Linked DNA regions of Saccharomyces cerevisiae S288C. The main gene of each other region encodes a partner of the protein of the gene in region 2 in a complex. Each region holds a gene or a part of one and is shown on either strand. Other genes may lie near its edges.

The links.
Region 1: RRP42 (region 2) and RRP46 share a complex: the UniProt entries of both Saccharomyces cerevisiae proteins name them as parts of the RNA exosome complex.
Region 3: RRP42 (region 2) and RRP45 share a complex: the UniProt entries of both Saccharomyces cerevisiae proteins name them as parts of the RNA exosome complex.

The regions. Positions count from the first base shown.
Region 1 is NC_001139.9:675,077-678,194, forward strand, and holds RRP46 (exosome non-catalytic core subunit RRP46), read right to left. Parts: upstream 1,267-3,118; coding exon 595-1,266; downstream 1-594. Other genes in the region: VAS1 (valine--tRNA ligase), read left to right, coding at 1-424; thiamine transporter TPC1, read left to right, coding at 1,545-2,489. UniProt on the Saccharomyces cerevisiae protein: Non-catalytic component of the RNA exosome complex which has 3'->5' exoribonuclease activity and participates in a multitude of cellular RNA processing and degradation events.
Region 2 is NC_001136.10:262,651-265,790, forward strand, and holds RRP42 (exosome non-catalytic core subunit RRP42), read right to left. Parts: upstream 1,461-3,140; coding exon 663-1,460; downstream 1-662. Other genes in the region: TRM3 (tRNA (guanosine(18)-2'-O)-methyltransferase), read left to right, coding at 1-575; TMA17 (Tma17p), read right to left, coding at 1,862-2,314; YDL109C (putative lipase), read right to left, coding at 2,608-3,140. UniProt on the Saccharomyces cerevisiae protein: Non-catalytic component of the RNA exosome complex which has 3'->5' exoribonuclease activity and participates in a multitude of cellular RNA processing and degradation events.
Region 3 is NC_001136.10:1,018,725-1,022,260, forward strand, and holds RRP45 (exosome non-catalytic core subunit RRP45), read left to right. Parts: upstream 1-2,022; coding exon 2,023-2,940; downstream 2,941-3,536. Other genes in the region: RNH202 (Rnh202p), read left to right, coding at 644-1,696; PHM6 (Phm6p), read right to left, coding at 3,283-3,536. UniProt on the Saccharomyces cerevisiae protein: Non-catalytic component of the RNA exosome complex which has 3'->5' exoribonuclease activity and participates in a multitude of cellular RNA processing and degradation events.

The DNA.
Region 1 (3,118 bases), on a different chromosome or scaffold from region 2:
CAATATTTTGAAGAATGGTAAGGTTTTCGTTGAATCTAACCACGAGGAATACTTCAAAACTGCTGAAGATCAGAAAGATTCTATTGTCTCGTTGATCAAGGCCATCGACGAAGTCACTGTTGTTCGTGATGCTTCCGAAATTCCAGAAGGTTGCGTATTGCAATCTGTTAACCCAGAAGTCAATGTACATCTTCTCGTCAAGGGACACGTTGATATTGATGCTGAAATTGCGAAAGTTCAAAAGAAACTTGAAAAGGCTAAAAAATCCAAGAACGGTATTGAACAAACCATTAACAGTAAGGATTACGAAACAAAGGCTAATACACAGGCCAAGGAAGCCAATAAAAGCAAGCTGGATAACACTGTTGCCGAAATCGAAGGTTTGGAAGCTACTATTGAAAACTTGAAGCGTTTGAAATTGTAGATTGAAGGTAGATAAAAATTAATGTAATATATATATATATATATGCTATGTATATGTAACAACGAAAATGTTAAGAATTTTAGAACATTGAATAATAACTATTTCCAAATATAAGAGGTAGTCTCCGGCATACGACATAGCATGTTGTGGTATATTATAATCTATAATGGCTATACAACTAGACGAGGTGATATATTGTCCTGTATTATTCTTCTTATATTTGTGACAAGTTCTTGACACTTTTGCTCACCCAGCTCCAGTAAACTGAACAATTGATCTTCATTAAAATCACCATTGCTGTCTAACAATAAAACGTTTTTCACGACTTTACCGCCATTGACGAACTCCAGAGCTAAAGTGTGGACAGAGAGCGAAATCTTCAATTGCTCGGCAGTGGGATCGACAATGATATCACTAGTGTCTTTGATTATTGCAATAGGGATGCTTGCGCACATACTATTTAAGGCAATTCCTGCATCAACTAAAGCCAAAAATGCCGCATTTATACAACAACTTAGCTCTCTCAGGGAGAATTCGGCTTCATCTTCACCAGATTCCAGAATTTGACAAGTTATCTGGCAGAGCTGTCTTGGGTAACAATGACGAGTGATGAGTGGGGTCAGAACTGCCCGTAATTTATCTTCGAGTACCTTCTCTCTTGTTGTGGCCACCCCTTTCGCGGGACGTACAATAATTTCTAATGCTAATTGTGTAGGCAGTTCTTGTCTTGCTTTTGGTTCAATAGGGCCTGTTACAGAACAAATAACCTTGGTGTCTTGTGATACGAATTCAGATGAACCATCTACATGATCTAATATCCCTATTTCTGCTTGGACGCTCATTTTTTTTTTTTTTTCAGCAGAATCTAATCTATTCTTGGTATTGGGCTCCTTGTTATTACCATATATGCAGAGATATTTTATGCATCTTAACTGGTTCATCTAACAAATTTTCCACTCTTTTTTCCACAATCCGATGCGCTTAAAAGGAAAAAAAAAGTAGTAAAAAGAAAAAGAGAGGTACATAATAGTCTTTATGAAGAAAAGGCGCTATTTTGTCACCTTTAACTTGGCATAGTCTGGAGCTTTATATAAACCATTCAAAGTACATAAATGTTGATATGTTCAAAGAGGAGGACTCGTTAAGAAAAGGGCAAAATGTGGCCGCGTGGAAAACTTTGTTGGCTGGCGCCGTATCCGGGCTGCTTGCCCGTAGCATAACTGCTCCCATGGATACCATTAAGATCAGATTGCAATTGACCCCTGCAAATGGGCTGAAGCCCTTCGGAAGTCAGGTCATGGAGGTGGCCAGAAGCATGATAAAGAACGAAGGCATCCGGTCCTTTTGGAAGGGTAACATACCCGGTTCTTTGCTGTACGTTACCTATGGCTCAGCGCAGTTTAGTTCATACTCCCTTTTTAATAGATATTTAACTCCATTTGGACTAGAGGCGCGCTTACATAGTCTTGTTGTCGGAGCCTTTGCTGGCATAACCAGTTCCATCGTTTCCTACCCGTTCGATGTTTTACGGACCCGACTAGTTGCCAACAACCAGATGCACTCAATGAGCATCACGAGAGAAGTGCGTGATATCTGGAAACTAGAAGGTCTCCCCGGATTTTTCAAGGGCTCCATCGCGTCAATGACAACCATAACTCTAACCGCATCTATAATGTTCGGAACATACGAAACAATCAGGATATACTGTGACGAAAACGAAAAAACGACCGCCGCGCATAAAAAATGGGAACTGGCTACTTTAAATCACAGCGCTGGTACCATTGGCGGCGTCATTGCTAAGATCATTACTTTCCCCCTCGAAACGATCCGTAGGCGAATGCAGTTCATGAATTCGAAGCATCTGGAAAAGTTCTCCCGTCATTCGTCTGTATACGGTTCTTATAAAGGGTACGGATTCGCAAGAATCGGTTTACAGATTTTGAAACAAGAAGGTGTGAGTTCGCTTTACAGAGGTATTCTGGTGGCCCTTTCCAAGACAATACCCACCACTTTTGTGAGTTTCTGGGGGTATGAAACTGCCATCCATTATTTGCGGATGTACTAAAGTTTCCAATCTTTTTTGTCACATGTACACACTCATATACATATACGAAATCATCATATCTTATATTCTTCACTGACAAAGATCGGTAGCCGCCCGGTTTTCCATTCCGATTACGGCCTGACTCAGTCGCGCCGTCTTCCTCTAATAACAAAAAATCGAAAAAAAAAGAGGAATCTCGTTGCTAGCGATCTGACGCCAACCCTTTTTCCGGTTTTTCTTAGTTGCCTGCTGCCCCGCACCGGTTTTTCTTCTTTTTTTTATCTTTTTTTCCGCTCAGTCAGCGGGGAAGGGAGAGAAGGAAACAATGAATCGGATCTTCCGATGGAACCAGCGTCAGGGACCACTACATCTGCTTGTTGTTTCAACACAACTTACATCTGCGCAAGCACACGGACTAGGAGTAACAAGAAGTAGTAAAATTGAAGAAAGCAAGGACTGCTGCAATCTCTGCACCCTTGTGGTAGCCACCCTTCTTAGATGTGGCATACTTACACTTTTTTTTTTCTTTTTTTTTTTTTTTTTTCGCCTTTTCTCATTTCTTGGCTCCTTAATAGCCAAGAAATGAGAAACGTGGGAGATGTTCAACCTCGCCTGATCCTACCAAAAAAAAAAATCGCAAAAATAAGCGG
Region 2 (3,140 bases):
CTGTTAACAACGCGAACATCTCCTGTGACACTTCTCCACTGCAAACAAAAAGTGGAGCTTGGGAAACCGTTCTGGATCTGGACAATAAAAAATCGAATGATGTCGTTACACGTTCTGAATTGATTGTGGTATCTTCATTAGTTGATAAGCCGCCAAACCTGGGAGGTATTTGTAGGTTATGTGATGTTTTAGGTGTGGGACTGCTTACTGTACAAGACATCAAAGTCAAAAACCATCCTCAATTTAAAAATGTTGCTGTGACTGCTGATAGATGGATGCCCATGGAGGAAGTTGCCCTAGATGAGATTGCAAGTTTCATGAAAGAGAAAAAGAAGGAAGGGTACACATTAATTGGGCTAGAGCAAACGGATAAATCAGTGAAGCTAGACAACAATTTCCAATTCCCTAAAAAATCATTGATCTTGCTAGGAACCGAAGCATTCGGTATTCCGGGGACTTTGTTAAGCGAATTGGATTTATGTTTAGAGATTCAACAATTTGGTGTGATCAGATCAATGAATATTCAAACGGCAACCGCAGTTATCGTTCATTCCTATACAGTTCAACACATGTAAGAATCAGGTTTCATTCCCACTTTTGTTAACCATGAAGTTTTTAGTATGTAAACTAATTTGTCTTTTTATCTAATTGTGACTATATTTTTATAAATTCTCCAGTGATCGTACTACGTCGGGGGCGTATTTCTCCACCATTGCAAGACCTTGCTTCAACAAATGAGGTTTAAAGCTTTTAACGTTTGAATCATTCAATGCTACTGATCTGATAGGTGATGTAATCTTACCATTAGACCAGGAAATGATTAGGCCATTATTGGCCACTTCGCTTTCGTTGGCTGCAGGGTCCAATAGCATATTGTTGCCTACAACGGCCAATATAAACACTAAAGGCGGATTAATGTCAAGCTTAACCATGTCGTAATCATGAAACGTAGGAAGTTCTTCCACCTCTAAGTCGTCAAAAGCTGAAATAAGTTTCGGTAGGTATGTGGAGTTCAACGCTGAATAAATAGCAAAGGATATTAAAGAAACTGGGTGTGAATGTGATGAAATGACCAGAACATCGACAAATATTTTGAAGCTGTACTTTTTTGTCAATTGCAACTTTGAGGAATCTACTCCGCTACCAGACTTCAAAACCTTGTTCAGTAAAGAAGTGATTGTCTCTACTACCAGCGCGTCATCTCTTTGGCCTGCGATATCTACATCGACCTGAAGTAGTTCATTCTCCACATGATGATCCACAACTTTGGACTTAATGCTCACGATACATTCACTTCCATCACTAGCTATAATTCTGGACGATCCATTGGAACTTGGTAGGAAGTCAGTAAATATTTCTATAGGTCTGAATTGATGAGGTAGTCTTCCATCGGGCCTAATTGAAGGCGTGCTTGCTAGTGAATCGTATAGGTACGACTTTTCGGCGACCGAAAGAGACATAAATGATTATTTCAACAGAATCTCAAACTGTCGTTGTGCTAGTCAAAAAGAATGCCTTTTGCCGTCTACAGACTATTAGTATCATTGTACTCCTTCACCATATAAGCTCTACGTTTCTTTTTTCTGAATATTAGAAAAAAATTTCGCCAACTAGGGTTCAAAATAATAGACTAGGGCACGGAAGAAAAGCACACCCTAGGGCTTTCGGAGATAAATTATTAATAGCGAGTTTTTTTTGTATTTACTTATTTTATTATTTCTTTAAGATATCTAGTAGTAAGGATAGAACGGGTAGATAGAATAGACAAATGGAGTTATTGAAATATTTATACGAAGAGATAGAACAGAGAGACAAAGAGTATGACGTGAAAATGATGCGCAGTAAAACTAAATCCCGTCTCTTAAATGAATATGCTGTTTGGTGTCACGACGTCCACATTTGAATTGTCCATGTCAACGTCAGGGCCCTTGTTGGTGTTGTCCTTTGCCTCTACCTCGTGCTTACTCTTGCCATGGCCCGTCTTTCTATATACCGTTTCTTGCTCCAATGCGTCCACTCTCTCATTGTAATTGTTTAGCACAATTTCGTTCTCCCTGACAGAGTCCTTGTACAGCGCCAGGTCTCCCGAATCAATGTTCTCCAAGTCGTCGCTGTCGTCAGCTTCAAGACGGTCGTCAGCACCCTCCAACTTAGCTATGTATTTACCCAAGCGGGCGTTAGACCTCTGCAAATGATTGATACTGTTCTCAATTTCTGTTTTAATCTGTGCCAACTCCATGTCGGACATGCCGCTTATCGCCGTCTTAAATTCTTCGATCTGGATTGGTCTTCTGATACCGCCTGCTGAGCACATTATGTTACTTGTAGTAGTTATTATGTTTTGATTTGCTTTATGTTTTATAAAGATCTTACCCCTCTTTTTGTCAAGAGAAATAAGCTTCTGAAGTATTGTTTTCCTGGTGAAAAGTGTCTTATTTATATGGAGAAGGGATATTCGGCCTCGGTTTTAGGGGAGGAGCTGAAGAGTTGTCCCGCTCGAAAAAGACCCGTAAGCGCATTTATCGAACTACGAAGTAAAATGGACTTTCGTAGGTGTGGACAATAGTAAATTGCAAGTCAATCCCGGGATGACGTCAAGATAGACAGTCAATCTGTCACAGAGGAATGCTTGCTAATCCAGGAGCTGGCGAGCTGGCTAGCTGTGGAGACTATTCCACCATGGTACACACTAGGATCCTCGATCTTGGTGAGCCATGAGTAGAACTTGTTTGGTTCCACCCCTCCGGTTGCCATGTTTATATCTTCCTCAGCAAACTGTTTATCTTGCATTGGTGAGGCGATTGGGTCATCTCTTTGGAAATGGGCGGTAACAAGGTGGTCAACCACCGGCCAGCCGTAAGCGTTGGAAAACCTTCTTCTTACGATGATGTTATTGTGGGCATCTGGTTTCAGCAATACCACGACTTTCCTCCAATGCATCCCCTTGTGCCAGCGGCGTGCTATGATTTCCTCCATCTCTTTTCTCGTCTTCCTCGTTTCGCCTTCCTTGGCTGCTGTTCCTTCATAAAGTGTTGGTGATGGAGGCGGTAAATTCTTTTCTGTGTAGATCTTATCATGTATGATTGTTGCGACCCTTGCATCGGGATCTGAGAAGAACTTTGCGTCGGGGCATGGTGATA
Region 3 (3,536 bases), 760 kb from region 2:
GTAAGTTTCTGAGCTTTTTTTTCCTAGTAAATTAAACTTGTCTAATACATCCAGTTGTGATGTATTCTATATCTCAGTTCTACAGTAGCACGAAGTTTCCCGGCCTCTCTATTCAATAAATTCAGCTATCGCTGATTATCAACAGCAGCAACGAATAAAGCATAAAAGAACAGAAAAATTCTTCTACAAATTTATTCTGTAAAGATTCAGCTTCTTTCGTGAATTTCTAAGTTCATGAGGGGAATTTAAGTATGGCGTTTCTTCGTAGCGCCATTGTCTTGAGCCAAAATGGAACTCTAAAAATTTTCACGACATTTTACTAGTCAGTAAAGTGAGCATATACATATAAGAAGAAATTTCAAAAGGTAAAAAATGGAGCAACTTCCAGCTCATTATCTTTTCAATGTTGTCGATGCCATAGTTGGATTATGAAATCTCATATTCATAACCACAACGCGTTTTTTTCCTTTTAAGGCACTACAGACTCCATTCTCACAAGTTTGTCAAAAGCACGAGCGCGATGAGAATTAAAGTCAGATCTGGTTAATGATTCTGGTACAACAGCAGAAACAAATCGAGTACAAATTTAATCTTATTCTGTCGCAATAGTTGACTTTCTTTTCTGGCCTCTCGAACAAAAAGCATGACCGTTTCCAACATTGGGGGGGAAGAACGACTAATAATTTTACCAGACGATTATGAAACTTCGAAAACTATAAACACTTTTACACTGCCGCCACCTTCCAATATTACATCCAAACCTCGTATCGAGCTCTTCGAAAATATTAATGGAAAACTTTACGAAATAAGATCTTTTCAATTCGGCAAAGGGCCCTCGTATTCACATGAGGAAGATTTGGCAAATGATAAATATCACTATACTAAGGAAAATCACCCGATCAAATCAACTTTCATTGTAAATACGTCTGATCCCACCGATGGTTATGTTTTTAACTCAAGCAAAATACACTTTTGTTCTTTATACGATATTGCTTTTAGTTTGATTGGATTTTACTATAGAAACAGTGTTTCAGCAGATGAACAAGATTACTCCAATTCAAGTGATACTGGTGAAAACCAAAAAAGCAACAGCAAAACCAATGAGAAATTTCTTACGGTGCGTGATTACCATGATTTCTTAACGGATAACCATGACAAGAATTGGGAAAACATTTCTTTAAGTCGTCTCAAGAGTGGCTTAGCAAAAGTTAGTGAAACCATTGAGGAAGCTGGTGACGTCTATTACAAGATCACATCTGCAATGATAACACAATTTTTGTTAGGCAAGGTATCAAAAATTGTAGAAAACTTTCCTCCAAGTATCCCTACACTTAAAAATGCCCCAACGGAAATAAAACAGTGCTACAAGGTAGTTATGGCTACAAATCTTTTAGTTTCCCTGATTCCAAGGGCGGCCTACCATAATTTACTTACCTTTTCACCTACAATGGATAGTGGTTGCCTAAATCCGGATATAAAAGCTAGCTTCATAGAACTCGAAAACTACGAGACTACGAACGAATTACAGAATGCTGAAAGAGAATTACTGATGAAAAGTGCCATGAATGTAGGCCTAAATTCGAATGGCAGGGTTTCATTGCCAGTGAAAAAAGTTACCAAAAAAATAGTTCAAAATAAAAAACCAAAAGTAGCCATAGGAAAAGGGGCCATTGATGGATTTTTTAAACGTAAGTAGCTAGTATCATAATTAAACAGCAATTTGAATGCTATAACTCGGTGGTGATGACCTCAGTGCGAGATAATTACACAATATTGTCACTACCAACGAATGGGCTACCTTTTTTTTCCTTTCTCGAATTCAAGAAAAAATTAACAACTTTTCCCTCGATGATGTTAACAAATGTCTGAATATAAAGGAATAGGAAACGGTTGCTAGATTGTATTTACCTTACCAACTTTCAAGTTTTTTTTCTAACTTCCTAACTTTCAGTCTCGATACATTAATCAACAGGACGTAGTGATTGCAAAATTGTTCAGAATATACATTAGATTAAAAGACAAATGGCCAAAGACATTGAGATATCCGCATCCGAGTCAAAATTTATCTTAGAAGCACTGAGACAGAATTATAGGTTGGACGGCCGCTCCTTTGATCAATTTCGTGACGTGGAAATAACGTTTGGTAAAGAATTTGGTGATGTTAGCGTAAAAATGGGCAACACCAAAGTTCACTGCAGGATTAGTTGTCAAATAGCACAACCATACGAAGACAGGCCATTTGAAGGATTATTTGTAATATCTACAGAAATATCTCCTATGGCTGGTTCTCAATTTGAAAATGGAAATATCACGGGGGAAGATGAAGTTTTATGTTCAAGAATAATTGAAAAATCTGTTAGGCGGTCGGGCGCATTGGACGTGGAAGGACTATGTATCGTTGCTGGCAGTAAATGCTGGGCTGTGAGAGCTGATGTACATTTCCTGGATTGTGATGGTGGATTTATTGACGCTTCGTGTATTGCCGTCATGGCAGGATTGATGCATTTTAAGAAACCAGATATAACTGTCCATGGCGAGCAGATCATTGTTCATCCTGTTAATGAAAGAGAGCCAGTTCCACTAGGTATACTGCATATTCCAATATGTGTAACTTTTTCTTTCTTCAATCCTCAAGACACCGAGGAAAACATAAAAGGTGAGACTAACTCAGAAATTTCCATCATTGATGCAACATTGAAAGAGGAACTACTGCGAGATGGTGTATTGACGGTTACGCTAAACAAAAACCGTGAAGTGGTACAAGTTTCCAAAGCGGGTGGTTTACCAATGGATGCGTTGACGCTAATGAAATGTTGTCACGAGGCTTACAGCATTATTGAGAAAATAACTGATCAAATACTGCAGCTTTTAAAGGAGGATTCAGAAAAGAGAAACAAGTATGCAGCCATGCTTACATCTGAAAATGCCCGCGAGATCTAATATTAACGAAAAAACTGAAATAAAAGCAACGCTTATACATATACATGCATGCATTAATATATGTATATATATCGGTACGTATAGATTGTAAAATTACACTTACTACTAAAGGCAGTATGAAAGACGCCCGCAGTTTTTTTCCTACTGTTTTCTTGACTGCGGTGTTCAAAAACATAAAAATCATTAAATTACTATAAAACAAACGCATACTGCGAAGAAAAAAGGCTCGGCTATAAATGCATATGAGAAAATATTATCTTTTGCCTCCCTGCTTAATTTCTGAAGGCATGTACTATCCAAAAGAAAAATCTTGAAAGAAAACAAATCCCATTATTCTTATTATTAAAACAAAAACTTCGTCATCGTCATCACATAAAAAAGACCTACCATTGTCAAACTGTACAACAGCAACACAATAATAATGACGATGATGAGTTCCTCGAGAAACCCTAGAACGGCGTTATAACACTGTTTGAGGGTATTACTTTTTCCACTACTCTCGTGGCGCGGAAGACCTGCTTCCAAATCTACTGTGTAATCAATACACTTAACCTCCTCTCTCTCCCCTTGTGCGTCAGAAAACTCTGCCTGTCTTA